Linked DNA regions of Drosophila melanogaster. The protein of the gene in region 3 interacts with the protein of the main gene of each other region in a pairwise test. Each region holds a gene or a part of one and is shown on either strand. Other genes may lie near its edges. The genes, in order: CG5466, CG14818, fws and gukh.

Region 1 (8,523 bases), on a different chromosome or scaffold from region 3:
AAAAAGAATTGTGTTCTTTGAACTACATCTATTTGGTAAAAATCCTAAATCCTATATTTTTACAATTCAAGTCAAATAAGATTACGAATTCTGGCAATTAGCGATAGTTATCAATGCTTAAAAGCACAATCTTTAGCGAACGATTTTTAAAATAGTAACGGTTTTAAATATGAAATAAAATAAACAACTAAAATCACAATCGGGACAGTTTATAAAACGTAATAAATGGTCGCTTTTTATAGCAATTGTTCAACTCAACTTTAATTTCAGGATTGAAATTGGAAAACTTTGCAACCGAAAACATGCTTTTAAAAATGTTTGATTAAAACAATGTTGTATTTTCACTAATTTATGCTGTTTCCAAAATATATTAATTAAATTTCTAGCACCTGAGATTATTAATTTGGAATACCTGTAGGGTTTTAAAGATTTTCAAGGCGAAAGTTTAAGGATATGACTTAAAGCAGTTAATAATGTTACATTGAAAAGTTCTTCTTTGTCGTAGAATAAAATATTTATTTATTATTAAGTCCAGAAGTTAAACATTAAGCGATAATATGGTATGTTACGATAAATTCCCACACATCAGCTAGGTAAATACTTATGGTTGCAGGTGTCTTTTTATTGCGTATAATACTGTTTGCTCGTTTATCGAATTTCTGGTAATGGTGAGCTCGGGCGGGTTAAAATATATATTTAAATAGCCCTTGCATGCGGAGTACAACCCTTCTTCAGCTTCTTAAATTTAAACACAACTCGTAATGTCGCTTTCGCCACCGCGGCCATCCGCCAATTGTTATTCAGATACTCTGAAGTCCTAATGCAAAATATAATGTAAGTCTTACGCGTCTATCATGTCCGATTATCAGTAGGTTAGTTTAAGTATAGGCTACATTCGAGTTGCTTTTGATATGGGCGAAAAGTCGTCGATTGCACGAGAACGGCTAAGAATATATGCTTAGTAGATATTGCACAAAGTAAAAAGTAAGACATTACAACAGAGGGCACACAACGTAATAAATTAAATTTAGTTTTGTCTTCCGTTTGCCAACATAATTCAAATATCACAGACGTTTTGCCAATTGTTTAACTAATTTGCCGATTTGCTTCATAATTTTGCATGCCAAACTGGAAAACAAAGAGTGATGGGAATCAAATTCAAGCCGCGGGATTCGATACATATGTATGCCTAAAGGTCAGTCAAATGTGGAAAATGTGAAATCAAGTCTTGTGTTGAACATGGCACGTAATTGCTAAAAGGAAAACTGGAGCCACGCCTACGAGGGTAAATTGCTATGCCTATCATCTATGCTTTTCTCTGCGTGTAAGTACTAAGTGTTCTCTAACTGCTGGAAGAATGTGAGTGGATAAATCCGGAGCTATTGCATGCTACCCGATGAGCTCCAGCCCGCATCTAGTGCATGTTGCCCGATGGCAGACCCAAGGCGGCGCCCAGGTTAAGTCCTGCAGGGACACCCACTCCTACTCCCGCGCTCACTCCTGATCCCACGTTGCCCTCGCTCTCACTTTTCCAGGACGACACGGGTATGTGAGGAGCTGGGAGGCAGTTGCGCAGCGTCTGCACGATCTGAATGGTGTCCATGAGGGCTGTCGGGGAAGAGAACGAGCAAGCAGGAGGCGGTCAGCATCGCAGATAGCGAAACCGGTTCCCAGCCAAGGTACTCACTTTTCTGCAGACTCTCACTCTGCTTGCCGTAGGGCTTGCACATCGAGGGACGTATGTAGGTTTTCATCCGCGACATGTTTCGCATCAGCTCCGCAAAGATGCGCACTATCTTGTCCTGACCCACGGCCAAGTGATCCATTCGATTGGCATCGCCGGTGGCCCAGGCTCCGTTGTGCAGCGCCAGCAGATCCTTATTCGATTCTATTGAGTCCAGATTGGAACTGAAATCGGAAAAGTTAAATGAATTCAATTAAGGGCCTAAAGCAAACATTTAAAAGTGATCAATTTACTTTACATATAGCAAATAATAAATAATATTGTAAACAACCTAATTCGTTACTTATCAAATACATACAATATTTTTTGTTTGTTTTAATAAAAAAATAAGTCTTTGTACACATGTTTTGCCAAGAAAAAGAATTTAAAATAATAATATCTAATAAATCTCACCCACCGCAAGGAGTCGGCGACGTTCTTGTGGGTAATCTGGTCCAACGAGGAATGAGAGGAAGACGAAGAGGATGAGTGTGGCGACTGCGATGGCGGTGGCAAGGGATGGTGTCCGTGATGGGCCTGCGGGCCGGCTGCAGCTCCTCCTGCAGCAGATGTAGTCGTAGCCGCCGGAGTCTGCTGATTGGCGGCGACGGCGGCAGCCACTGCCTGCGATTGCATCAGGCCTTGGATTTGAAGATTGGCGGCTGCAGCCGCAACGGCCATGGGATCAAAGTGCTTTGGATCCAGCTGGGCGAAAACTCGCTGCTTTTCCAGCGGACTGAGGTGGTTGCTAAGCTTCTCTAAATTTTGCTGGGCGAGGACACGGTTTTGCTGTTGGATGAGGGCAGCAGTCAATTGCTGCTGGTGCTTGGCTGCTGCTTGCTGTTGTTGTTGCTGCTGCTGCTGCTGTTGCTGTTGTTGCTGCTGTTGTTGTTGTTGATGATGAGCGGCGGCAGCACTGATCTGGGAGAGCTGCGTCTGGAGAGTGCTCTGCTGCTGCTTGGTCAGGTGCTGCAACTGCGGCGGCACCGGCACCTGGGGCACCTTCGCGCCCGTCGACTTGGACAGATCGATTTCCACGTTCGCCGAACTCGAGCTGCTTGCCACGCTGGAGGTGGATCCGGCTGCGGAGCCTCCTGGCCCAGATCCGGCTGCTCCCCCAGGCGGCAGATGCGCCAAGCGCTGCAGGAACTCGGGAGTGTTTACGCCCGGATACTGCTGCTCCATGAACGGCATGGGCGAAATTCCCATGTGGTTTTTATAGTAGCGACATGCGGGACTTGGGCAGGACTGCACCACCTCGATGATGAACTCTTTCTCCATGCCGAACTGATCCCGACCGATGGTGTACGACTCAATGACTGCCCTCACCGTGGCATCGACACTAAGGTGCAGGCCGTGCGGACCTGACATGTGCTTTAGCATGACCGCATTGGCAAAATGCTCAAAGGGCAAGACAATCTTTCCATTGTCGCGCAGTATTAGCCGTCCCTGGGAGTCCAGGGTTAAGCGGTTGGCCAGGACTCTGCAAACGAGGAAGTTATGAGAACGGATCTGAAAAAACCCACAACCCCTACTTACTGCAGATAGGCGGCGCTGGGCAGCATGGCATTGTCCTTGAGATCGCTGAAGCACTGCAGCAGCTCAGCACTGGGATTCCAGCCTTTGTTCTGCAGATACAGCTGCAGCAGCATGTACAGCTTTTCCGTAACATAGCCCACTCCTGGCATTCCAGCATTTGGCTGCGGCAGCATATCTCCGCCTGCCACGCCCCCGCCACCGGCACCACCACCGGGTCCTTTGGACAGAGCCGCCTTCATGGTCTCAGACAGATCCAATTTGTAGTTATCAGGATAGAAATGCTTGGAGTGCTCCTGCAAGGATCGCAGTGATTAGTTCACACAATCGGAAACAGAGACACCCAAGATCTGAGCTTGAAATCGAGCCCTGCTACCTCCACTGCCACCGCCGTCACCGCCCACTTACCAAATTGTTCATTTTCGTCTGGGACTGCGAATATCTAATCTGTGCGGCGCCAGTGCAGCATCCTGGATTCGAATGACCAACGGTTGCTGTCGGGAATCACTCGTCGGTCGGGGGACGAGACTGGGCTAACTGGCGGCCACGGATCGGGGGAAAAAAACTGTATGTGTCCGCCGCCTAATTGTGTTGTCCTTGCAAGGAAGAAGTGGGGGAGGCCATCAGTGTGACCGTCGCACGTCGCGGCCAAAAGCTCTAAAAACGACAGACAGCTTTATGCCCGACTTTCATATACATAAGCAAATAATTTAACATTTGTTGGCGTATAAACATAAACATAAACATTGTTAATGCGCTTAAAAATTTACTTAAGGCATATAGATATTTTTTTGCAACTGTTTAAGATTTGATTAGTACAGCCAATAGTCTTAGCTTTCGCAGAGCTCAAATTCTAATGCATCTAACTGCCAAATATTCTTTTTTAAGCTAATAAAAAAGTGTGCTTGAAATCTATTTGTTTTTTAAATACAAATATAATGATTAGTATGAGCTTATATTATATTATATCCTATAGCTACCACATTAAAAAAGTTATATTTTAGAAGTGAATTGAAAAAATAAATAATATAGGAAAATAATTGTAAAAGCGATTTAGCTTATTATACAATCTGAATTATTTATTTTTATTTTTTATTTATTATTATCTTACTAATTTAATTTTTGCAAAAACCATTCAAACCCATTTAAAAACGTAGAAGTGCAAAAGAATTGACTATACAAATGGTCTCTTTAGAGAGAATAATTAATTAAGTAACCCAACAAATAATTCCTTTACGTAGGATTTAATTTCTAAAATAGTCCTTGCTAATTTACATACCTACAAATTGTATGCAAAATCCTAAGAAAGTAACTAATAATGATGGCAATCACAATTTTGAGCACGCAAGTGCTGGAATATGAAAGGAAACCCAGCAGGTAAAAAGTCTCGAGGACTCATTACACTTAAGGTGGCCTCCTGGTCAAAGGACATTCGGCCGAGAGGGAGTAAGCACCTGAGCCAACCCTCCGGATAATGGCCATTTTGCATGCGTGCCCGGCGAAAATCGGGGGGTTGGGTAGCTATAGCAACACCACTCCCTCCACGAGTCCACTTGTTTACTTGCCTTCCTGGGCGACTTCCAAATTGCAGCTGCAATCGCTCCAGGGAATTCAGTACCCTTTCGAATATTGAAGAGCGAGCAGCGACTCCTAAAATCAGAACAGGATGAGGATGAGGATGAGGTGCTTCTCCCGGGCTATCAACTGGTGTTGTGCTCTTTTCTGGATCGCCTTACAAATTCCAGTGCCCATCTGCTCGCTGACCACCGCGGCCACAAATCCCTCGCAGCTGCCAACGCCGCACACTTTTCGCTTCCAGAATCCGACGCAGTGCCTCAAGAACGAGTTCTACAACCTCAACCTATTCGACTGTGTGCCCTGCAATGAGGTCGCCGGCGGAGATGGGGTTCAAGGAAAACTGCAACCCGACAGTGAGTGGTAGTATTGATCAAACAGAACCAAAAGGGGTGCCATGTGAAGGGGCAAGGACCTGCATGCTACTCAAGAGAAAGTATTCATTTTCAGCTGCAAAAGAGCTGTAATATTGTATATACCAAATTTAATATTCGGTTATTTAAACATTTTATTGGTTTAAGGTTTTGTCATTGAAAGCGACAAGGCTTTTTGCGATTAATATATTTTTTATAGGTCACAGACCTCGAATACTTAAGATTTATTCACATCAGTATTTGTCACTTAGCACAATTTGCAAACTTCACACAAATTTTATTTTGACGATCTCGAAGAGGAAATACTATAATCAAACAATTTTTAATATTAATATATTAATATATTTTTAATATTTCGAACTAATATAAATTAAACTATTGGTATTCTTAATAGATTTCCTCAACGATTTCCTGTTGTTTGATTTAATAAGTAAAGTATTTGTAATCAGTTATTTAAAATATGTATAAATAGTGCAGATAATAAGGACATTGTTGTGTAAGAAAACTAAAACTCGTTTTAGGGGTATTTATACAAAAAAAAAACAAGATAAACTTTTTAGTTTCGCTTTGAATTGAATTGAAAGTTGTATACTGTTTTTATATATATAATATCTTAAAATGATTGATAATTGTGACAAAATGAATAGATTAGTTTATATACATTTTCAATCCTTGATCATATGATAGATCTATGAATATAGGATATGCATTCGTATGGTTAGAAGAAAGTTTTACTATGTTACTGAAATAAAAGCTTCTTGTTTATTGCCCACCCAGAATTCACCTGCTTCTTGTTTATTGCCCACCCAGAATTCACCTGCAAGTGCCCGGCTGGTCATCTGTCCATCTATGAGCGCGGCAAGACGTGGCCCACCTGCGATGAGATTTGCACTCCGGACAGGAGCGACAATTGCACTTCGGTGTGGCTACCCCAGCCTCGACCTACCAATCAGTGCAGCTATCGGTATCTGAACTCCACGGCAGCCTTCGCCAGTCAGTTGCCAGTGCATCCACTCATTTCCGGCATCATACTGACCCATACAAATCCGATGAGCAGAGCGGGAGATTGCCATTCCTGCGATATGACGCACAATTTCCGGTATCAGGACTTCTGCTTGGCTAGCACCCTGCTCCGACCGTATGTGCACTACAACGCCTTCTGGCAGGCGACAACCACGCCGGATTCAAGTGCACCCAGCCGCTTTGGTGAGCTCAAGTTTGTGGCCTTCTTTTGCCTGACACTGCGCAACGATACCGCCTGCCAGCAACTGGCCAATCTGTGCGTGCTTTCCCATTTCTCCCTGGAAAAGCACTCGCCCTGCAGCGCCTTCCTGCTTACCCAGGTCTCTGATGTGGTCATGAAGTATGCCCACTCCGGCGAACAGGTGCGATCCCTGCAGCCGTTCCTGTTCTACAAGAAGGGTCGGGCTACCAAGGAGCTGCTTTCGAAGACGCTTCAGCTGCCGGATCGCAAGGAGCTGCGCCTTTTTAGCACCACATTTGGTCTAGATGGCGGACTCAAACGGTGGGGTGCCTTTCATCCGGAGATGCTGAACATGTGCCAACAGAAGGCGCCTAGCCTCCGAGTGGCTCTACCCAAGAGGGAGTCGGAGGTATCTTGTCAGCTGACCCTAGAGCGTCTCATTGACCTGGCCAACCAACGGCACAACGCCGAGTTTCTCACCGTGTTTCTAAACTTCAGTAGTAACTGGCAGTATTTGCTTCACCAGTTACCTGTACTCATCGAGACCCTGACGCCGGAAAACCAGGTGAGGAGTGTGATGTACTCAATTAGATAGAACTTAATCTCAGTTCCGTAATTTCTTCATCTGTCCAGCGACCCCAGCAGGAGGAGTGGCAGTTGGTGAAACGTTTCCAGCTGATCTCCGCCTCGCCGCGGGATAGTCATCTTCACCAGACCATGCCGCGCTACGAGGATGCCCACAAGCTGCAGCAATATTACTCCTTACGATATGTGGAGGACATCGAAATTCGTTATACGCTGGACAAGGATCAGCCGGATAGAGTGGGTCTGCCGCTCATTCGCCTGCGATACCGACACATAGAGATGGGATCGGGAAATATATCGCTCTCCCAACTGTACCCATTCACCCTGAGGATTAGCTACGACCAAGTAAAACGTGGTTGGGATTGGTTGATCTTGGAGGTGGCGCTGCCGCTGCTCCTTTTGCTGGCCTTTGCAGCTGCTGTCTTCCGTCTCCAGAATTTGAGAAGAAGGCGGAAGGCGGACCTCTGTCAGATGAGCAGTCTTATGGAATTTCTCCTGCAGCTGGCCGGAAATGTGGCATATGCTCTGCTGGCGACTACTCTGCTGCTCCTACTGCTGCAAGCCTCCAATTCTCGCCTACTGAAAATCCTACTCAATACCGCCTTTGTGCTGCAGTTCCTCTTTCTGGGCATCCACCTGTGGCGCTCCAGCCAGCTGGAACTGTTTCTCATCGACTGGGAAAGACCGCGGAGCAGCTGCGAAGGACAACGCCTGAATCTGGACAGCTCATCTCTCTGCTCTAGCGTGCGCACCTTTGTGGCCGAGAGCAGCGTCTCCGCCTGGCGAGTTCTCTTCACGGCCAATGCCTGGATTCGCCTAAGTGTCACCCAGAAGTACTCCACCTTGGGTCAGGTATTTGTGGTCATCGCTGGCTATCAGTTTCTGGAGAGGTTTACCAAGGGTGACATTTTTCTACGTTGCTGCCTTATAGCGGCAGCTTATCTGCTCACATATCTACTTCAGATAATAGGCCACCAACTGTTTATAGCCAATCCCCTCCAGAAGTTCATCGACCTGTGCAGTCTGGCCAACATCTCTCTGTTCTCACTGACGGAGCCAGGATTTGGTTACTACATCCACGGACGATCTCCGCACGGCTTTGCCGATACGGATATGTCCTCGATGATTTTGCAGCTGCAGAGAACCCAGACCATGTGTGGGCGACGAGGATTGCTAATGGACTCGGACAAGCAGGCGTACGTCATCCTGCCTCCCAGAAACCTTCAGTAAGATTTTGACTTTACTCCAATGAGGATATTGATTATCATAGTGTTTTTACTATAGCATCTACCTGGAGCGACTCCTGCTTCCCTTTCAGCGCAGTCTGACCGGCACCCTTTCGCAGACCATGCTCTACCAAAAGGACATCGTTCCGAGCATCGATGGACAGATGGAACGTACCTCCATTGCGTACGCCAGCGTCAATCGCTTCTTCTGCGCCTTTATCGACCATGTAAGCTTAAAGTCTACCTTAATTGATCCATTGAAGTATGTAACCAGTTAATATGGCCTAGTCGATCAAGCCG
Region 2 (6,168 bases), on a different chromosome or scaffold from region 3:
CTAAAGCGAATGATTAGTCCGTGGGATGAGAATGACTGTATCGAGCTCTTCGATCCGGACTACTCCGGGGGACGCAAGACACCGGAGCTGGACTACACCCAAAGTCATCCGGGTACGGATGAGGAGATAATACTCAAACTTATAGCGTCCATGAGTTCGGGAAAGAACGAGGACGACGAAGGAATTGAGGCGGAAACCAAAGCTACAGATGTCGAGGATTCCGAGGTCGAAGAAGAAGAACCTGAATCCGAGCCAATGGAAACCGCCTCCAAGGAAGCTGAGTCCGAAAAATCGTATGCAGAATATCAGCCAGACTCAGCACAGACAAGCGACGAAAGAGTGCAAGAGCTGCAGGCCGAGAATGCGCGCCTCAAAGCGCAGTCAATGCGCTTGTTCCAGATAGCTTTCAAGTATATTACTAGCGATACCAATGGCCAGGCTGAAATCACAGAGAAGACAAAGCGCAAGAAAGCGCGGAAGACATAGTGAACCTTAAGCTTGCTTTCAATTACGTTTACTTAGGACTTAGGACAAAAATACATGATAATAGAAAAAAAACAGCACTGATTGTGCCTAAAAACGATTTGGATGAACAAAACAATAACTTCTCGTAGAGGGATCTACTTGGGTGCCGCTTCGCTGCCCGCCTGCCCGTCCATGTTGTCATCTCCCGATTCGGGAGCGTTGTCATTTTCCTCGGCAATCAGGCGACGGATCTCTCGGTTGGAGTTCAGCAGCTCCCGTAGTTGGGACATAATGTCGTCTGTGCGCTGCTCCACGGCGTCCAGGGCACAGCTGAGAGCGTCCAGACTGTTGTTCACGTCCTCCATCTCTGTAGGGGTCATTCCATTAGAGCCAATCCCGAGCAGAAACGGGGCGCTGTCAAAACTCACCTTGGAGGTCCGCCTCCTGGACATTGGTGTTGCCAGAGTCGCCGGACGACGAGGGATCATGATTGTTTTTGGGTGACATTTTCCCTGGAATTTTCCCCGGAGTTTTTCCGTTTGTTTTTTCCAGTTGGATTTATTGTCACGGGATAGCTATAAACGATAGAGGTGGTTAGAAGAGAACGATAGGTCTCAGTTCAAATACGATATAAAAAAAAAAACTTAATAGGGGAATTCAGTACATACGTACGTTTTTGTAATTACGAAAACACTTTTTAGCTCAAAACACTAGGCGAACATAATCCACTGCAAAAGTCCAAAGCTAAGTTTCCACTTAGTTTTTAGGGATGTGCCCGTGCCTCGTTTTATTTTTACGTACCAATGGAATAGCATGGGAAATTTTGGCTTATTCGCATATGTCGTGCCTAATTCGTGACACGAACAATGAAACAAATGGTTTACGTATCTCTAGGCGTTGACTGGACTTAATCGAACGGTTCTTTCCCATAGTGCTTAATGTTGATTGGCCAGAGTTGACCCCTTCTGACAATGAACGGCTGTTTAATTTCTCAGAGCGATCAGCGGTCGTACTCCAACGTTTTCTGTTCGCCTGGTGTCTACAGTCGATAATCTTGCCCATTTTGACCGAAATAATTTTGAAGCATCGAATTGCGACAGTAGATTTCTTGTTGCAATCATGAGGCGAGCATAATAAACAGAAAGTGTACTAGCCTCTGTTTCTACGTTGTTTTTAGAGATGTGCATGTATATCGTTTTATTTTCACAACGCAAGCAAATTACTAGGGATTTTGGTATTTGCTCGAGCATGACGTGCCGATTGCGTGTCACGAACAGGGAAACAAGAGGGGTTCACATCTCTTCTGATACTCTTGCTTAAGCTTTGGTCTAACTGTTCACAAGGCTGCATTCCTATTGGTTCAATTGCGACTGGAAACATGCAATATGCGACCATTTTGGAAAAAGAAACTGTTTCTTGATTTTGTCGACATGTATCAGCTGGCTGGCTACTGGCTACTGGTTTCTGAACTCCAGATATTCAGTCGAGAATCGCATGCGAATGCCCGTAATATTTGCTGGCATCAATATTTAATCTGTTGCCTAGCGTGACAGTCGGCCACACTGCACCTCACATAACATAACCGAAAAATGAACAAATGTTTTAGGTGCCAGCCCCGGATATCGCTTTTCCAGTTCAGCGTGAGTCCATGAGTGTGTTGCCTTATAGGATTCGGATTTTCAATTTCTTGTTTACACAGCTACCGCGGTGCTATGCCGCAGTGCAGCCGGGATGTCCACCGCCACAAGAAAAACCCGTCGTCGGTTTGCCACACAAGCCCGATCCCAAGACGGTGAAGTGCGACTATATAGGACCGCCAGACGCGCAATCAAACCTACGTCCGTACGTACGGCACTACGGCGATGAGGAGACGCGGCTGGCAAGAAGCCTGCGTCTTAAGCGGATCGAGGTGGAGGCATGGAACACGGACTTCTGGACAAAACACAATAAGCGCTTCTACGAGGTACAACCACGACCACTGTGCCATCTCTTTCTAGTCCGCTAATGTCGTCTCTTTCGAATTGGTTCGTTTACAGGAAAAGGAAGACTTCATCCGCCTGCACAAGGAAAGCGGAACCAGCGAAGTGTCCGCGGACCAGATGAGCCACTTCTACAAAGCGTTCCTCGACAAGAACTGGCGCATCCACATCATGTACAACATCTCCTGGTACCTGAAGAACTTCGACATACTCACCCTGGCTGCCGCAGTCCAGCTCCAGAGGCTTCTGGCGCTGGCCAAGCGAAGATCTTAGGTGCAATATCTGTCGTCCCCATTTCGTAATTTCCAGTTTGCCGTTTGCAATAAGTTGGAATAAAAGATCACGTGCGTAAAATGGTGGCATAAAATTTACTTAGCTACTATTTAAGGGGATGAAAAATACACGTTGTTCGGAGTTAGTTAATGTACTTAAAAGTAATCGCAAACTATTTAAATAAAATAAAATAGAAGTAGGTGTTCATATCCTTATCAGTGTATATATTCAAAGAAGGTTGCGCACGATACACGCAGCGAAAGAAGGATCGCTCCCCATGTAAAGTGGCCGAATATTGAAAGATAACCGCTACAATTATGATAATAATAATAATGGTAAACAGAGGGGAAGGCACACACGCATAAAGTCAAGTTTTGGGTTGGCCATCGGGGCGGTCAGTTTCCTCGCGATAATTGCAATGGTGGTAGTGATGAATGTGGAGATGGTGCTAAAACAAATAAAATTAGGTGCTCCAGCGACTGTGTGAGGAGAGGGGGTCCGAAATACATTACAGGGGTGGTCGTGTCCTAGCAGTAACATTTATATTCTTTCTATGTAGAAACGATAGCAATTATTCAATTTAAACTATGAAGACACTCTCCACTTTTGCACTTAAGAGCGATATAAAGGATACGAATTGGCTACAGTGGGCACATATACAAAACTTACAAGGTCATATGCTCTCCACGAGCATATCTGCATATAGCATATAAACTATATATATATAAATATATATATATATATATATATATATATATAAATGTACACGAACTATAATGCTTAGCGAATCTAGCTACTTGATCAGATACAAGTCCTGTTCCTGTTCCTGTCTCTACTCCTGTTCCTGTTCACTGGGAGCGACGTGCTCGCCGCCGCTTCTTGCGCTTCCTTTGGTCCTCCGCTAGAGGCTCCTCCCGACTCTAGTTCATCCACTTGCGACAGTTGGGCGCTCCACAGGCGCACGGTATCTTGTGCGACTCGTCCTCAATGTCGAACTTGTAGTCGTACGAGAGCTAAAGCACAGAATTTAAGAGATATTGTGAGTTAAGGTACAGGCGAAACACTTCTATTTGCGGGACCCACCTCCTCGCCGCGATAGATCTTCCGCTTGGCGAATATTATGATCCGCACGTCGCGATCGACCTCCACTATCTCGGTAACACAGTTGGGATTGCACGAATGGTTGATGTAGCGCGCCAACCCGCCGCTTAGAGTGGCGTCCACCACGCGGTCTTCATCCAGCCGGAACATGTAGATGCCACGGTTCTGGGGAATCAGAGATTAGTCAAAGTTACAAGAAAACATGGTCGCGAAACCCACCTTGGACTCGTACTGCTTCTCGCGTATCTCGGAGACCTCGGTGCGGATAACCTCGCCAATGTACTCGATTATCATGGTGTGCTTTTCAATGTCCCGAGCTGCATACAAGCCAAGACCCTGGATCTTAGATCTAGAAAATGAGAGCTTAAGTAATCAGTGGTTATTGACTAGGACCTAATGTCTCACCTCGCCAAGTAGACGTTGTTGCGCCACTCCTGCTTCATCTTTTTGTACTGGGAGCTCTTCGAATGCACGAACTGCTTGCTGTACGGGCAGGCCACTTCTCCGGCAATCGCAGCCGAGTTGGCCATCCGCTGCGTGCTGCAGCTGCCGGCCGTGCGTTGCGTATGCGGCTTCCTCCAGACGAGCAGCTGTCGTTGCTTGGGTTCCGTACGCGCCGCTCCAGACGGATTGATGGCTAGCGGGAACTCAAGAAGCGGGTTGCGACCGTACTTGAAGCGGTAGTCAGTGAGCGTCTCAATGCCCGGGAGGCTTTCCAGGATTCGCACAATGGCCGGTTCCGTTAGGCCAAATAGGTCCTCACCACTGATGTGCTGGGGAAAGAGCTGCAACCACTTGTGCACCTTACGCAGTCGCGTGATTGGCTGCAGAATCTGCTGCCAGACCGCCGAGGGCGAACTGCCCCGAAACTCGCGCTCCGGCTCCTTGTCGCCGGCGTCCTGCACCTGGATGCGAAACTCGGGCTTGCATCCGGCCTCTGCGATACTGCAAATGTATCGACACCTACGATTGGGTCGTCGCACGCACCAGTAGTAGCGACTCTATGGGGGAGGAAGAGGAACGGGATTTAAGATTGCTGTTCATAAACATGGCGGCCGACCGGCTGGTACTTGTACTTACCACCTTGTAGCCAATGGGGTAGATGTAGTGGGGTGTGTGGAAGGCCTCCAGCTGATGCGGCAGTAACTGACCCACGTTCAGGAACGTCATGTTGCCCACACGGAGCAGGTTGCTTAGCTCTGAATAGTGCATGACGGTGGCCACCTGACGGTTTTCATCCCGATCGACAAAAACTCTCCGGTGGACAACCAGGGAGCTCAGTTCATTATCTGCCACAGAGCCTCCTAATCCGGCGCCAGTCGTGGCGCCTGCTCCTGCACCCATCGTGATGCCGGCATGAGCATGACCATGAACGCTGCAGTGCACGGACTTGTTCTTGTAAAAGACGCACTCCTCGCGAATGGCGCATGGCAGGTGGTACAGGCTGTTGCAGCGCGACTTGAAACACTTGATGGTGGCGCCTGGTTGGTGACAAGCGCTACACGCCTGGCTCAGTCCCGCTTGCAGAGCTGTCTGGAAGTTCATCAGCGCCCCAGACACCGTCTCGTACACGCCGTTGGACCACAGGGCGCAGTTAAGGTGAACCTGTATGTGAAAGTGTACATTAAGCTGTGATGCAATCAATCATTAGGGTTACACTTTCTACTTACCCATTTATCCACATCGAAGTTAAGCAGTCGCGAGGGTCCATCTGCCTGGCCGTCACCACGCTGATTGCAGAAGACACACTGCCGCGTGTCCTCCAACTGCAGCCCACTGGTCTCTGTTTCCCACACAGTATTATTGACCGGTCCAGCCCCAGTTCCGGCACCAGCAGTTCCGTCGAGCTCCAGTCCGGATGGCGCCGAGTCCGTGGTGAAGCAATCAGCACTAAAACACTTCACAATGCATTTGCGCTGTGCGGGGATATTTGTGGGGTTGCCCGGTACGCTCGGCGTTTTCTCATCCTCGTCCTCCGGTTCTTGTTTGACCACCATTTCCGCTGGGGCAGTTGAGCTGGCGCAGAAGCTGCCAGGCGAGTCTCCGTTGGATGATTTTACAGCAGAACCGCCGGCTGGCTGAAGCAGCAGACTAGCCGCCTCCGCCTGGCCATCCTTTCCATTCCACTTGAATCTCGCAAAGCAGGCGCGATCGCAGAAGTACACAAAAGGAGGGGGAACCGATTTTCTTGGCAGCATGTCCATCAGTTGAGCCAACCGGGGGAGTTGCTCTTCTAGGGCAGGAACACTGTGCCGAGGAACTCGCAGCCCAGTGGCGTGAACCACATTTCCGCAGCTGCGGCAGAGCTTACGACGCCCGTTGAGGATCTTCCTCAGATGACCGTGACTCA
Region 3 (7,900 bases):
TATTTTTCTAGTTGCCCGTCGTTAACAAAATTAAACAAGTATATCACACAGTGCATGTAATTTAATGTTGCTTTTATTGAATTCAAGAAATGTATGCTAGGGGTTTTTTTTTTGCTGATTTGCATCTCTAAATGGTACAATTGTTAATTTGATATTACATGTCAAATAAAAACTAATGGGTTTAAAACAAATGCCGATCTGTCGCAAACAGTTTGTCGCTTGAAAATCATTATCTTCAAAGCGGTCAACTTGAAAGTAGGTTTTATATTGATATTCGTTCACTTGGTTATTGGTATAATCTTATATTTATGCGTTTGACAGAATTGAAGGTAAAAACAGGAGTGATATAAATTTCAAACAATGCCAGCGCCTTTCTTTTGGGAAATGTATGAAAAGAAGGCGTGGCGTGTTTTGGAAAATTGCACAAGTACTTTAGCGAAAACAAATGTTATAACGAAAATAATAAAAGCAATGCGTGAGTGTATGAGTAAAATGGATGTAAAAATGTTGCATTTAATTTCCATGAAAATATGTTGCGCTGAAAGGAGACAAAGGGGAGAAAGTTAAATGAAAATTGCACGGAATACTCACCACTTTCGTTTTGTTTCCTTTAAAATTGCTTGGCTGCAGCATCGCAACAGTTGTGTTTATTCTGCTCGCATCCAATATCTTGTTTTTGTTTTTTTTTTTTTTGTATGTCTACGGACTAGGGACAAACCATTCAAGTGAAGTGTTCTTTGCTGCTCTTCTGCCTCACGATTGATTCTTTACTTAGTACTTGTTGAATCGCCTGTTTCTGTAGCCTCCACCGCTGCCGCCACCGCCGCCGCCGCCACGTTGTCTCGTGCGATTGTTGTTTCCGTAGCTCTGGTTGACCTTGTTGGAGTATTTTCCAGATGGCGGCGAGTAAAACTTCTGATCGTTGGATGGCCGCGATTTCTTCTCTGGCTCCTGATCCTTATCCTTGCCGTTAGCAGCGGCTTTCTCCCCAAAAGTGATGGGTGCATGACGCTTGCCCAGCTTGTTCTGAACGCACAAGAATATTGCATTGTTTATAAATATATCAGCTGTAAGAGATAACTTGTGTGCTTACATTTTTTGGCACAATCCAGGAGAGCACAATGTCATGTTTGAATATGGGCGGTGAATGAAATAGATCCCGGATCAGAATGTTGATGTTTGATGTCGTCTTCAGTGCCGTCTGCTTCAGTTGGTTCTCCTCCGTTTTGAGCTCCTCTCCCGTCTTGCCTTTGAGCGACTCCTCCAGTTTCTTAATATAACTACAAGGCAAGTATTATAAAATAAATTATGTAAACAGAATAAAATTTTTGCAAGAACCTACCCCTGTGTTCCCCTTGCAAGATATTGCAATCTAGCTCGAAAGTCTTTTAGTTTCTCTGCATCCTCGACGAAACTTAAACTATTTGGATGATTTTTTCCAAGAGTGTGCAATGCGTACAGTAAGCACTCGGCGTGCGAAAACTGAAACGAGGGCGGTGTATCTCCCAGATCCTCGTCACTCAGCTTTGGCAAAGGCATGTATTCCTGGAAATTGTTTACATGTTATTCGCTCAATTTCGAATGTACCAAGTACACTTACCAGCAATACATTGTAGACTGCATTAATCCGTTCGCTGGCATTGTCCAGCTTGTCTGTGTTGGTTATCATCTCGGCGAATACCTTTAGTAATCTAAGTTGGATTTGATCTTGCGAAACTGCAGTGGCGATCATGTTCCAGGTCTTGATGGGCAACAGTTTATCGCAAACGTGAGCCACGAAGGCCGTGGATTTGATGGTTTTCTATAGGAATGGCAAGAGATTCGATTTAAATGCTCGCCAGGGGTTCGATTTCATGTGCAGCTATTGGAAACTTACCGAAAAGTAAGGAGCCGCAGCAGAGGCGCACTGAATGAATCGCTCCACCACCTCGTCGTCGACGGCTATGATGTCCGCGTCTGTGTTATTTAGCTCCGCCTGCTCCGTGGCCAGCTTGACGAGCTCGGCGTGTCCCGTGATGGTGCTTCCCAGTTTGGTGGCTCCCAGAATTGTCATGCACAGATGAAACTCATCGGCAGTGACATCCTGCAAAGCCTTTTTGATCTCCTCCACGATATAGTCCTCGATTTCCTTGGTAATAACTGTGGGACCCATGGTCAGCAGCTTGGTGGCAATGAACTTGAGGCAGCGCTCCCTTGTCGTTTCATCCCCAGTGGAGATTTGCTGAAACAATCCGGCGATGGAGCTCTTGGTGTCCAATTTTATGATGGCCAGCAGTGAGTTGTTGACCTGCTGGAGTTCTGTGGGATCGTCCAGGATTAACAGCTGGGCCAGAGTATCACCCACTCGGATGGTAGCATCTGCGTTTCCCTGGCACAGTTTCGGCAGATCTTTGATGGCCTGGCGGCGGATCTACAAGGATGATAAAGATATTTAGTTTGTGGAATATGTGGGATATCTTAAGCTGTCAAGATACGGAGCAGGATTACAGGGGATTTCGATTTATTTACACACATCAGCTGCATACAGGCCAAAAATTCCGAGCCTATTGTATCAGCTGGGTAACTTTATGGCACCCACTCACCTGTGTGTCGTCATCCTCGCACAAATCAAACTGCGCGTCTATGGCTGTGTCGGCCAAATCCGGAAAGTGTTTGAAGAAGTTACCAATGAACTGCGATGCCAGGCGCTTCTCCTTCGACGTGCCCTTCACGGCCTTGAGTATCTCTTTATATTCATCCACATGCTGCAATTCGAAAAAAACATGCATATATATATTAGACCATGTATCATATACCGTTTTTTTTTCGGCACGTTTTGCAATGGCGGCATACTTCGGATATTTTATCGCCCGCCTCGGACAGAATCTCGTAGCATTTGTACAGTCGCTCTATGTTGTCCATCTTCTTGGCCAGTGGTACGCACTATATTTGCAGAGGTTTCAAGCGTCTATAGTTTACTTTACACAGTTTTCGTTGCAGTTAAATTGGATGACAGCGTTTCTCAAATGAGAGTTTTTCACGTTGCAAACAAAATGGTGAGCACGGGGGAGTGACCAGATCTCGAGACAGTAAAAACCCAGATGGATATCGATATACCGTTGGGAAAAATTTGTACTACCGTTATTCAGAATACACATCGATAGTTAGAACAAGTTATTAGTACCGTTATTCTGAATACGCATCGATAGTTTAAAAAAGTTATTACTACCGTTGTTTTGAATGCCTATTTCAAATCGATATAAATGTGAAAAATATATAAATACCGATATTCCGGAGGAACTATTTCCAAACGATGTAGTGATATATTTTTATTTGAAATCCTCTTAATGTTAATGACGAATAAGTAAGAATTATTCTTTTAATACGAAACATCTTCCAAAATGTGTCTTTTGAGTAAGTACCAGTATCATTTATATTAACCATGGAATTCCATTTATTCATATAGCGCCAGCCAAAACTGCCTACCAAAATTAATTTAATCAAATGACAATATGACACAACCTCGCATAATTTCAATTTTAAGCCTCTAGCCTCAAGTTCTCACTGCTATCATTATTCCACTCAATAAGTTATTCTAAGAAACTCATTAGCTTCATTTAGCGGAAGGAACTGAGTACAATGATTTAATAGAAGGATGCCATGCATATGTTTATTCCAAACATATTCGTGCTCTTACATACATACATACATAGTTCTAGATACATAATACATTAGACATTTATGGAAGTGCCTTTAAGGCCTGTTCAAAATAATCTACCATCATGGGGTAAACTTCGTCGTACTGCTGAATGTTCTTTCGCCTGGCATTGTCCCGATACCGTTGCAGTGCCCCCGAGATCAGCTCTAGTTTCTCCCGTTCAGCCGTGTGCCCATCCAGCCATTCGATCAGCCGCTCATTGGACCAGTTGGCCGTCGTGTGTGGCGACTGCAGATCTGCTCCAGCGTGTCCGAAGAGCAGCAACAGCACTATGTAACTGGGCACTAGAGAGTCCTCGCCGATTGTCTGCTTGACCAGCTCCTCGGCCGTTTGGACGATCAGCAAGGACATGGCTCTTAGCAGACGCGACGGCTTTCCCAGCTCGGCGAGATTTGGGCAAAGAGGTTTCAACGCCTGTTCCATGTGTTGACAGTCTTGCTTCAAACGCTGCCTTCCGCAGGAGCTTAAAGGTCGCAGAATGCACACATTGTGCAGGAAGAGCTCAATGCAACGTTTGGCCAACTCGTGTCCGCACTTTTTCGTCATCTGCTTGTCATCGAACAGGGCGATGTGATGCGACCAGGATCGGTTGACGAACTCCTAATAGTTTGATTGAGACATATGACTAGCCAAGTATTACATTCAAATTCCCACCCACCTGCAGTTCCTTCATGTACATCGACGGACCTGTGGTAGACATCCTCTCCGAATTCAATCCCGGCTCCCTGTGCATACTCAATACAATGATGCTAATGGTCGTGATAATCGACTCCATTATCTGCTGTAGAATGGTGCCGATCAGTAAATCAGCCTGTTCCAAGGATCGGGATATAATCTCCCTAGCTGTTCCCGGTGTCTTTTCAAAGTGCACATGAAGATCACTGAGCATGCGACGCACTGAATCCTTATAGTAGAACAGAACATTCGCCAGCTGGGTGTTTTGCTGCTGCTGCAGATTGGGCAGATCCACGACCTGCTTGGAATCAGCTCCCAGCTTGATTTGAGCCTCTAGTTTTGTGCACAACTCTTTTCCACAGGCCGCAAATACATTTGCTATGGCATTCGTGAGACGGGAATCGATCAAAGCAGCACTGAGCTCCGTTGATGCCACACGAATAAAGTTGTCCACCGTTTCGTTGCCGGGCAAATCGACTCCCGCCAGACATGCCTTAAAGTTGGCAGCACACTTGCTAACGTAACCCACTTCCAGGGGAGCAAATAGTTCGTTGTCAAACTGAAACTCGCCATGCAGACGCTGCTCCAAGCCACGAGCGGAGGTCAGGAGCTTTGAGAGCCCCTCCTGAAGGGTCTGCGTAACATGCTGGGGGCATTCGTCAAAGGATTTTCGCAGGAGCTGCTGCACCTGCTGCCAAAAACGCTGCGGAATGCACTGATCCGATGATTCTGATGTATAGCCAAACTGGTTGATCTGCTCGAGAGCCGTTTTCAGCAGCTTGATTTGCGTGCAAGTCTCAAAAAGTTCATCATAGAGCAGCCAATGAAGAGACTTCCAGAACTTGGCACGGAAGTTTTGAGTGGTTGTCAACTGGGGAGTTTTTCCTGGTCCCCTCGAGGGAGCAGGTTTGCTCACATTGTGCGTCGGGGACTTGTTCAGCACAGATATATCGTTGCCAGCAAAGCACTCTTTCAGAGATTGCTCCATGTCGGCAATAAAGGTGGCCAATAGGTTATCCAGCGATTTTTCCAGCGTATTGAAATTCATAAAGATCTAAGGAATAAGAACTCTTAGGTATATGCTAGAAAAATGTTTGTTATATCCACCTTCAAGGCATTAACCACTTGGTTTTCATTGCGCTCCTGGAGCCCAGTGACCAACTGCATCTGCGTGAGGTTCCTTATCTTCTGAGCAGAGCTGATCACATAAGCTCGCTCCTGCTGGATAAAATCAATGTCCTTTAGCTCCTTATCTTCGATGAGTTGGCCCAACTCAAAGTGGATTTCGGCCAGGCGTAGGACATCCTTGGTCGCTTTTAGTTTGGCCGTGAGGCTCAGCAATGTTCCAGCCGAGCGGAGTAGGTGACTGACATCGTGCAGACGCCCTAGCACTTGCGTTTGGTTCTCCACCTGCTGGTACTGCGTGTCCACCTGGTTCTTCAGCCGGTGCCCAGTTTCCCTGACCCGCTGCACATCCTCGGCGAGCGCGTTTAAAGCCGCATCGAAGCGCCCAGCGTGGGTGGCCTGCTGCAGTAGAGCTCCGTGCTTGTCGCGCACCTGCTGGTGCAGCTCCTCCTTCGTGTTCTGCAGTTGCTTGGACAGCTCCTGGATTTGCTGGCCAATGGTCAGGTGCGACATGGATGCGGTAAAGTCATTATCATCCGAATCCGCTGCGTTTGGGGTCTTTGTCGCTACCGGGTCTCCAGTCACCATGATGCAGAAGGTTTTAATCTATGGTAATACGAATTATAAGCTGGTATTACACTTTTATTTCCATTACTTGCAGCAATTTTACGTATTGCAAACAAACTGTTTTTCCACGCAACCAAAAACAGGCTGTAATCGATAAATTTCCAGTTGAGCGGGGATTGAATTTTTTGAAGGGGTTTCTAAAAAACTATATAAAGTATTGCGTGATAGCTTAATAATATAATATTTAAATAATAATGTTAAAAACTAGCCGCATCCTTTTTCCGCTTGCTGAAAATATTTTACTTCGACCGCCGACTACGCCCCTGCCACATGAACTTATCGATAACTTGAGGCAGCTGTTGCTCACTTTGTTTTGTGTAAATAATTGGATGCGGAGAAAAACGTATTATTATTGCCATACCTTCTCTAGTCTTTCGCTTTAACAAATTTTCCATGTCGGACGACATCAAGAAGTATTTAGACGGCCTGCTGCAAAAGTAAATATTCCACAGGAAAGGCTGTTCCCAATATGATTAACTTATAATTTTTCCCCCATTCCCCGATTTACACAAAAGGGTCAGCGGGCTGTACGTTATTCAGATTACGGATCGCGACGGAGTGCCCCTCCTGCGGGTTAGCCAGGAGAAGAACGTGGACTTCGCCCTGATGCCCTCGTTCATACCCACATTCACCACCGCCTGCGATCAGGCCAGCAAACTGGGATTGGGCAGAAACAAGACCATCATCTCCATGTACTCCAATTACCAGGTGGTCCAGATGAACAAGCTGCCGCTCATCCTGACCTTTGTGGGCGCGGAGAACTGTAACACGGGACACATTCTCGCACTGGAGCACCAGGTCGATGGCTATTTGGAGGACATTAAACAGGCTGTCACCGAGGCCTAAAGTTAGTCTACCTTGTAATATGCATATTTTTAATATTTACTAAATGTTTATACATACATACTTTATTGAGAACAGAATGAGTTTTTAAAAATCTCAACTCACCATTGTACTATTCCGGGAATTTATTTCATATCCTGCGAAGGGTGATCTCAAAGATGAACAAAGTTCCGAGTCCTCCGTTTTGGCAACAATATCAAATATGCAAACTATTGACACTTTATTTAAAATGAAAAATTCTTGCTGCCTAAAATGTGTACATTCAATTAAATTTCTTCATATAGTTTCTCAATTATAATATACTTTTCCCTATACCTTGAAATCGTCTGTGCTCAAGTATCACGAAAGTAAAATATTTGTATGTTTGAGCTCAAGGAAACCGACTTTAAATCAACATTTTCATTCAGTGATGTTATCTGTTTTAAAAATACTAGGTGTTTACACTTTATTCAGAATGAAACTTGATGTACTTTTTGCTTAAATGCATATACTGAGTTAATTAGCTACAATTCTTGATGGTTTTCCTGCTGCAGTTTGGGAATGATCTCGACAAAATTGATATTCTCCTTTAAAACTAAAATACAATCCCCAAATCTCTGGTCTACGCATGCCAAGCATTCACATTTCTCTGCGGCTCATCCTCATCGTCGATTGTTGAACATTTCAGAGTTCGTCGTGCAGATTCTCCGATTCGGACTGGAAAGCTTCGCTGTCGCAGGCGGCGGGAGTTTCGAATTCAAAGTAGTATTCACAGCGATTGGGCTCGCTGACGGCAGTGATTTTGGGTTCCAGGGCACAACTAATGTTGATGATGGCCGAACGGTTTGGACCATTCCAGCAGGCAGCACCATTGGTGTACTTTTGTTGGGAATATTGCTTTGGCTCTCCACTCCATTTGTCCCAGCGACCCAGCGTGGTTTCAGGCCCACCGCT
Region 4 (7,704 bases), on a different chromosome or scaffold from region 3:
TCTTATCCGGTAATTTGAGAGACTGGGTCACTTTTAGCACGGTGTCCCAGTGCCCGTTGGAGATATCCTGCACAAAGCCATCCACGCTGTCCACCGTATTCAGGGAGACACCCGTTTCCTCCTGAAAGTTTAAGATCATTGAAAGACAAACTCTCTCCGCGGTGTGTAAGTACTAACCTGTAACGTTTGCAGGGTCTTCATAAGGTTGGACTCCTTCAGATACTGCTGGATGAGCCGAATCACACTTTGTTTGGGGGGGAAATCACGGATCTAGTAAAAACTGAGTGGTGTTGGTCGATTTACAGTACTTACTCCGCTGATTCGATTTCTATGGACATCGTAAACTAATTTCCCGGTTTAAGATTCCTTTTAAAAATAAGTTTTAATACAGGTTTATAAAAATGTACAATAATATTGATAAAAAATGCGTCGTCGTAGGGATGGCGAAAAACAGATACTATGCACAGAACAGCTGACCGTTATCGTTATCGCCGACAGCTGATTCTCAGTATAGGCAAAAAGAAAATTCATTTCACAACGTTAAATAAAATAAATAAGAGGCCATAAAAGTTGTGAGCAATAAATGTTTAATTTTATTGCTATCAGTGGTATTTGTATTTAATAAATTTGTAAAAACAGCAATGTCCAGCAAGCACATGTGGCAGAAAAACATTATATCATTAATAGGTAATTCAACCAGCATTGGCTTAAACTTTAAGTTTTTGTAAAGATGTATGTAAAAACATTACCGGCAATAGAATAGACACACACACACACACACACACAGTTACCGATCAGCCGGTTGACAAAAACAAGCATAACGATAGGTAACACCGATTAAAAAAAAAAGAAACAAATGGCGATGTTCCCGCTCTTTTTGTTTTTCGGCGGTAAACGATCTGACCAGGCGGGTTGAATCAGTCACCATATTCCCGCCGCCGTGTACAGTACTCCATCGAATCCGGAACAATCAACTTCAACCGCGATCCGTTGCTGCTGTGCTGTACCTAAAACAGTTAGTAAAACTCCCAATCTCACGTGCAGATCGCCGATTATCCGGACTGATGGCGGAGGCAGCATCCTGTGCCCGAAAGGGGACCAAGTACGCCGAGGGCACCCAGCCCTTCACCGTCCTCATCGAGGGCAACATCGGCAGCGGGAAGACCACGTATTTGAACCACTTCGAGAAGTACAAGAACGACATTTGCCTGCTGACCGAGCCCGTCGAGAAGTGGCGCAACGTCAACGGGGTAAATCTGCTGGAGCTGATGTACAAAGATCCCAAGAAGTGGGCCATGCCCTTTCAGAGTTATGTCACGCTGACCATGCTGCAGTCGCACACCGCCCCAACCAACAAGAAGCTAAAAATAATGGAGCGCTCCATTTTTAGCGCTCGGTGAGTGCATTATTCCCGTCGTCCGGTTTGACCAGAAACGCTAAACGAAACTTATCCATTACCCATCGCGCCGCAGCTATTGCTTCGTGGAGAACATGCGACGAAACGGCTCGCTGGAGCAGGGCATGTACAATACGCTGGAGGAGTGGTACAAGTTCATCGAAGAGTCCATTCACGTGCAGGCGGACCTCATCATATATCTGCGCACCTCGCCGGAGGTGGCGTACGAACGCATCCGGCAGCGGGCTCGTTCTGAGGAGAGCTGCGTGCCGCTTAAGTACCTTCAGGAGCTGCATGAGTTGCACGAGGACTGGTTGATACACCAGAGACGACCGCAGTCGTGCAAGGTAGTTTCTACACAAGCTCACATCTACCGAAGCCGCTAAATATGCATTTTTCCTCAGGTCCTAGTCCTCGATGCCGATCTGAACCTGGAAAACATTGGCACCGAGTACCAGCGCTCGGAGAGCAGCATATTCGACGCCATCTCAAGTAACCAACAGCCCTCGCCGGTTCTGGTGTCGCCCAGCAAGCGCCAGAGGGTCGCCAGATAACCATTATCCCATTAGTACCTAATTGTGTGTAGTACAGACGTTTAAAATAATATTATAAGAGGCCTAGACGAGCCGATTCGCGGGACAAAGGCAGAAACTTACACTTCGAGCCAATGATTAACACATTCGTATATTAACAATTATAATCCACATTATATTCTCTTCACAGCAACTAGTATGTAAGCTCAAAATATTGTAATAAAAACTGTGAATGTTTATGTTAAAGGCAAGGCACCTACTATTTTTGTGTTAGCATTTCAGTTCACTTGCATTTTAACTATATTGTGTTGGACAATGAAATCATTAAATGCCTTCTCTAGCATTGATTTTTGTTATCTTTTTCTGAAGCGGGGTTTTTTAAAGTCATAATAATGTGTGCACCGTAAAAGCGGCGTGATCTTATGCCTGCTGAACTCTAATGTGACTGCATGCGCTTCTCATTACTGACCTAAATATATATACTTTATTTCTCTATTGACTTCCACCCACAAAGACAACCATTTGTTGAGTCAACTTGCTTTATATAAATGTATATAATTAATTGTTTTCGCTATCGGGCTTACTTAAATGCTACAGCTTAATTAGGACATCGCAAGGAGAGCACTCCATCTGTGCTGTGAACGTTGATGCCGTTCCTGAGGGCGTTCACTTGGGTCCGTTCATGATTCCTGGACGGACGCCGGGTATAGTGCCCAGTGGAGGCGGTGGTCCCATCATGGCCATGGGATTCATAATCGGTGGCGGACGCATGCCCATCATGGGGTTCATCAGTGGAGGCATATAGGGCATTCCAGGCATTCCCGGACGCGGAGGAGCCCCCATGTTGGGCGGCGGAATGGACACGCCCGCCGGCTTGGGAGGCGCTCCTCCTGGCCCGCCGGCAAACGGATTGTTCGTGATCTTGCCCGCTTTGAAGGCGGCGGTAGTGGCGTCAATCAAATGCTGCGCCTGTTCCTCCATCCACTTTTGGTAGTAGAACTTTACATTGTCGCGATGCTTGCGGCCGGTGCAGTGGGTTTTCCGCACCGAGGGCGAGTCGTGGGTCAAGTAGGTGTCGCAGTAGTCGCAATAGTACTTTGGCATTGCACTAATTTATTTATCTTAGCTAAGGAAATTCGGTTCACTGTAGTTTTATTTATTATTTTTCGCAGTCGTATGACCGTATTTCGACAAGGGTGATAAGCTACTGAGACATGCTGCTGTCTGGCAACTCTGCCGCTGTGTATATCGATATGTTTAACAGCAACATTCAGCTTGAAACTCATGGAGATATTTGATTTGGGTTTGTCAGCTTGCATTTTATATTTATTTATATATTCAAACAGATACAACATAAAAATAAATATAAATCATGCATTATATATTAATGTTTTGTGTTGAATGCCCACTGTGCACTGTTAAGTGTTACAGCAGGTAACACACTGTTAGTGTGTGCAGTGTGTCCTGACTAAGCTAAGCAGAGTTTTGAACCCTAGTCGGTGACATACTCAAGCAGCTTGGACGAACGGTCACACGGGCAGATGATTTATCTGCGACTTCACTGCCCTTGCCATGTATTGGGCACACTGGCAGTTATTTTGAAACCGGCGAAATACGAAGACGTCAGCGCGGACGGTCGGTTTTTGTAATTTTGCCGGCTAACACACCTTTCGAACGACGCGTAACGGTGGCCGGGCCATTAAAATCGCCACAACCACGGGCAATTCGAGTGCGGCGCGCTAATTATGCAAGGCTGAGAACTAGCCACAAAAATTTGGGGGGCAGCAATAAACCAGTTGATTTAAACTAGTTTGTGAGTGCGTGTGAAAAGGCCAAGGAATTTGGCCGAAAGTAGTAGACAATAGCTAGGAGGCTGCGACTGCGGAGGATTCAAGTCCAGAAGTTGTCCGACCAGTTTTCGGTGCCCGTGTGCTCGTGTGTGTGTGTGTGTGTCGGGATTACTTGGATTACCTTTTATTTTATGTTGGCCGGTGCCTTCGAAGCGGAGCGAATGAGTTGGAGCAGCTAGTGGCCGCCAGAGAGATCAAGAGTGCGAGAGCCAGCGAGAGATGCCCTTCGTCCAGCGCGTGGTGCAGCCCGTCAATGTGGCCCAGGCCACGGCGGCCAGTTTGGGCCACGCATCCGGACGATTCCACTGCACGCCGGGCAAGTGCCGGAACAACAACTGCATTAACAAGCAGTCGCCGGATGTAGAGGTCCCCAATGGCCACGGATCACCCACATCCCTTACCAGGGTTCTGGTTCACCAGGCGCCGGAGGATCAACCCGTACCGCCCGCTCCGGCGCCCATGAAGAAGCTAAAGCACCACGTCGAGTTCCTGTCCACCTCGCCCACTCGCCATCAGTCGCAATCCCTGCCCAATTCGCGGCATCCCAGCCAGCAGAGGCCGGCGCTTGGAAGGATCGCCAGTGCACCGCAGTCGCCCACTGCCGGCTCCTCCAAGGTGGTCTCCGGCCACGAGTTCGACTCGATCAGCAACATAACGCTGAGCAACGCCCTGCGGCAGCTGGCCAGCTTGGTCCTCATAGCCAGCGATATCTTCGACGACCTGCAGCGGGATCTGCAGGCGGTGGGCGAGCGGGCGGGTCGTGTGCAGCGGAAGATTGCCGCCGTGGAGCGACGCGTCTGTGCCTACGATCCGAAAACGGTCACAGTTCGTAAGTAGACCCATTCATCTTATGCCCTATTCAATTCTAGCTAGGATCTACATAAGTGGGAGCTCCCCCAATGTGTGTGTGTGTATTCCTCACACGATTCGCGCTCAAAGTCAAGTGCGTTATCACGGACAGCTTATCGCCCGTCATCTGCCGCTTTGTATGCGTGGAGTAGCTTCTGTGTGGGTGGCTGTGTTTGGCGGAGAACGTGCTCCAATCTTATCTGCTTTCGCAACACGCGGGGAATTCAATTTGCAAAGGCGCAAAAGGGAGGAGAAGCAAAAATAAGTCAGTGGGGGAATTGGGGAGCAGGTCTCGCTATACCCTATAGCAAAGTTTTTTCACTGGGGCTAATTAGAAACAGACGCATATTAACATATTAGATTAATATTTTAATATTTTCTAAAACAATTGATTTTATTGTTTCCTTTTCTGTTTTTGAAAAAGTTAAAATTAATAAACATATTTATTGTGTTCTAAGAATTTAAATGATATTTACTAGCGCTGGACTTACTATTTAATTTGATTGCAAGCAATACTAAAATATAATCATAATATATACACATGTATATTAAACTCCTCCTGAAATCGCCATACCCTGGGAATACCCTTTTTCTGAGCATCTCGGTGAAAAGAAACCGAGGGAATACCGAACCAGTGGAAATTAACACCTTGTTTACTTTGTCGCCTCCGCTGTTTGGGGCTCCACTCCGATCGCCCGATTGCCCCTTTGCCCATCCTGCCATTATTCCATCATGCAGAGTGTGAGTGGGTGGGTGGGACTGGGTGGGGCTGGGTGGCCTGTGTTCATGCAATTAGCTTCTTGCCCGCGTCCAGCAGAGGCTTCTACAATTACCAACGAGCTACGAGCACTTAGATAAGCGGTCTAAAGTCGTTTGGCTCATTGTTTTCGCGACCTTGTGTTAAATACCTTCCCAACACGAATGGCCATTTATGTGGCAAGTGCTGCAGTTGTTGTTGCTGTTGTTCTAGTTGCAACAGCAACAGGTTATCCGCAGTGGCTGTCAAACTTCGTGATATGCCCAAATCCGAATATATTTTCTCGTCTATCCGCATTTTAGCACTTTGCTTCGCTCGGCACTTTATCGCCTTTACATTTTTGTTTTCTGCTTGCAATCCGAATTTTGTTTTTCGCTTGAAAAACGTTCAATAACTTTATGAAATCTCAACGGCAGACTGGCGACGACGCTGACTGCAGCTTTTTCACTCCGACTTGATATTGTTTTGTTGCCATTATTATTGTGCACTTGGCTGCAGACTTGGGCTGTGCGCGGAGCTCGACGTGGCGTACGATCCCATTGTCAGCTGTCATTTTGCAAGAGCTCACTTTGTTTACGCCAGCCCCTCTGCCGCTGGCTTTTGGCTCCTTGTCAGCTGCCCGAGGAGAGCAAAAACCCAGAAAAAATAACACGAAAACAGCAGCTGCTGCTCTTTGGGCTACTGCATGCGCAATCGAAAACGTCGCACTAATTGCTCAGGTATGAAGCCCAGGAAAAACAAGAGCACCACACTCGGTCTTCTACATATGCGCGTACAGCTGAGGGCACAAAAATAGCAATAATAATAGTTTTAGGCTCATTAAGTACTGCGAATCTCCACAAAAATTGGAAACATAATCCACAATGTATGTGGATTTTTATATGACCTTAAAAATTTTGTATTATGATAATGGCACTAATATAGTTATCAATATTCTTAAAGTATAGTTTAATAATAAATACATATGTATATATTCTGTAGTTAGGCGTCTCTTTCCCTTTGTCTATTGTTGTTAAATACAATTGCTCTTTGAGTATTTCGCAAACAACATTTTAAAAATAAATTATCAAGGATAGACACTTTTCTTCTTAGACTTGTGTTCAATTATTTTATTTTACATGTCATGGTTATCTAAAAATATGCGCCCAGGTGATAGATAGCCTTCAAAACGGGCGAGCACATAAAATTGCTTCTAATACTTAAATGGTATCATTAAATTTATCTAAAAATGTGACACAAGCAAGTAAAACTTTTCGATTGTTATAATGTTTCAAAAAACCCAACTCAACTGGCATAATAAAAACCATATGCGTAGTTATTATTGAGGTAACAAAGAAACCCTGGCACAGCTATTAATTTCACCTTAACTGTGGGTTGTTAATTTTGAAATTTGCAATTGCCTCGGAAGGAGTGGACACTCCACGCCACTCCACTTCGATTCCCCTCACCTGTTCCTTTGTCCCGCAGCCATTAATGTGCTCATATTAGAAATGCCATTACATCGCGCCATTTGCGGCGACTGCCGAGCTAACCACCACTCGGAAAAGTGCCTCTTTTTTTGGGCTAGTGCAGCCAAGCGTGCGAAGCATTTGCCGAGGGTAATTCCCATTCGTTCTCCGGCTGTTACTGCTGCGGGCCTACGGGTAGTAACCATGGCCAACTACCGCCAATGAACTACTAACTATATCTGCCAATCAATCGGCCATATTGCCGGGCCACAACATGTTGCAGGGGAAACGAAATAAAATATAGTTGGAAGTACGTGAGCGGCATGGACAACCGGCGAATTGTTCGGGCCCAGCAGGCGCTTTTCGTAAAAAGGAGGCCCTTTGAAGAGCGCAAATGCCGCTGTCCACTTACGCACTTGCCCACTTCGGACACTCCAGTCGGCTCAGTGGTCACTGGAAACTTGATCCCGGACGGAGGACACATGTGCGTGGGCATCCCGGACGAAACTGAGATACTAAGATACTACATAGATGCCCAGTCACACAGGCGCACACATGGCCAGATTGTCTTCAGCAGGAAACGAGCATTTGTAATTACAGCCACAGTGGGGCATAAATAACGCGAGGCCAAAAAGATACGGCCCGCATCCGAGAGATACACGAAAAGCCGAAACCGAAAAACCTGTTCCCACCTGCAGCATTGCGTGTGTATATGGGTGTGAGTGTGCCTCAAAAACTAAACAAACAAGCCAACGAAAAATACAGCCAGCTATGAAAATGCCTCGACTACACAGTCCGAAAAAAAAATGAAAGAATGAAAGATACAAGCTGCTGGTATCCAGAGATACAGTATCTATAGGTCTATATGTCT

Evidence for each region.
Region 1: the proteins of fws (region 3) and CG5466 interact in a two-hybrid assay, tested with the Drosophila melanogaster proteins (one large-scale study listed by BioGRID).
Region 2: the proteins of fws (region 3) and CG14818 interact in a two-hybrid assay, tested with the Drosophila melanogaster proteins (one large-scale study listed by BioGRID).
Region 4: the proteins of fws (region 3) and gukh interact in a two-hybrid assay, tested with the Drosophila melanogaster proteins (one large-scale study listed by BioGRID).

What each region holds. Positions count from the first base shown.
Region 1 is NT_033777.3:20,613,247-20,621,769, reverse strand, and holds CG5466 (uncharacterized protein), read right to left. Parts: upstream 3,888-8,523; 5' UTR 3,680-3,887; coding exon 3,668-3,679; intron 3,556-3,667; coding exon 3,263-3,555; intron 3,207-3,262; coding exon 2,142-3,206; intron 1,909-2,141; coding exon 1,688-1,908; intron 1,609-1,687; coding exon 1,415-1,608; 3' UTR 501-1,414; downstream 1-500. Other genes in the region: CG15923 (uncharacterized protein), read left to right, coding at 4,926-5,190, 6,019-6,977, 7,046-8,223, 8,282-8,450.
Region 2 is NC_004354.4:1,878,519-1,884,686, forward strand, and holds CG14818 (uncharacterized protein), read right to left. Parts: upstream 1,257-6,168; 5' UTR 1,138-1,256; intron 1,063-1,137; exon of another isoform or gene 1,041-1,062; 5' UTR 973-1,040; coding exon 894-972; intron 833-893; coding exon 621-832; 3' UTR 501-620; downstream 1-500. Other genes in the region: CG14805 (uncharacterized protein), read left to right, coding at 1-486; Coa8 (cytochrome c oxidase assembly factor 8), read left to right, coding at 2,055-2,105, 2,165-2,428, 2,502-2,717; trr (trithorax-related), read right to left, coding at 3,638-3,730, 3,801-3,983, 4,038-4,167, 4,224-4,819, 4,899-5,423, 5,489-6,168.
Region 3 is NT_033779.5:17,474,817-17,482,716, forward strand, and holds fws (four way stop), read right to left. Parts: upstream 6,214-7,900; 5' UTR 6,153-6,213; exon of another isoform or gene 6,104-6,152; 5' UTR 6,086-6,103; coding exon 5,480-6,085; intron 5,427-5,479; coding exon 4,356-5,426; intron 4,298-4,355; coding exon 3,719-4,297; 3' UTR 3,626-3,718; downstream 1-3,625. Other genes in the region: cass (cassowary), read right to left, coding at 772-1,026, 1,094-1,280, 1,343-1,545, 1,601-1,801, 1,877-2,410, 2,583-2,744, 2,833-2,901; Lamtor3 (late endosomal/lysosomal adaptor, MAPK and MTOR activator 3), read left to right, coding at 6,518-6,561, 6,640-6,970; GCS2beta (glucosidase 2 beta subunit), read right to left, coding at 7,631-7,900. UniProt on the Drosophila melanogaster protein: Required for normal Golgi function and necessary during spermatogenesis. Required for cleavage furrow ingression during cytokinesis in dividing spermatocytes and for the extensive polarized cell growth that accompanies spermatid elongation.
Region 4 is NT_033777.3:18,980,508-18,988,211, forward strand, and holds the start of gukh (GUK-holder), read left to right. Parts: upstream 1-3,517; 5' UTR 3,518-3,998; coding exon 3,999-4,608; intron 4,609-7,704. Other genes in the region: Smu1 spliceosomal factor, read right to left, coding at 1-121, 178-244, 313-338; dnk (deoxyribonucleoside kinase), read left to right, coding at 1,065-1,396, 1,473-1,743, 1,801-1,950; snRNP-U1-C (small ribonucleoprotein particle U1 subunit C), read right to left, coding at 2,596-3,033.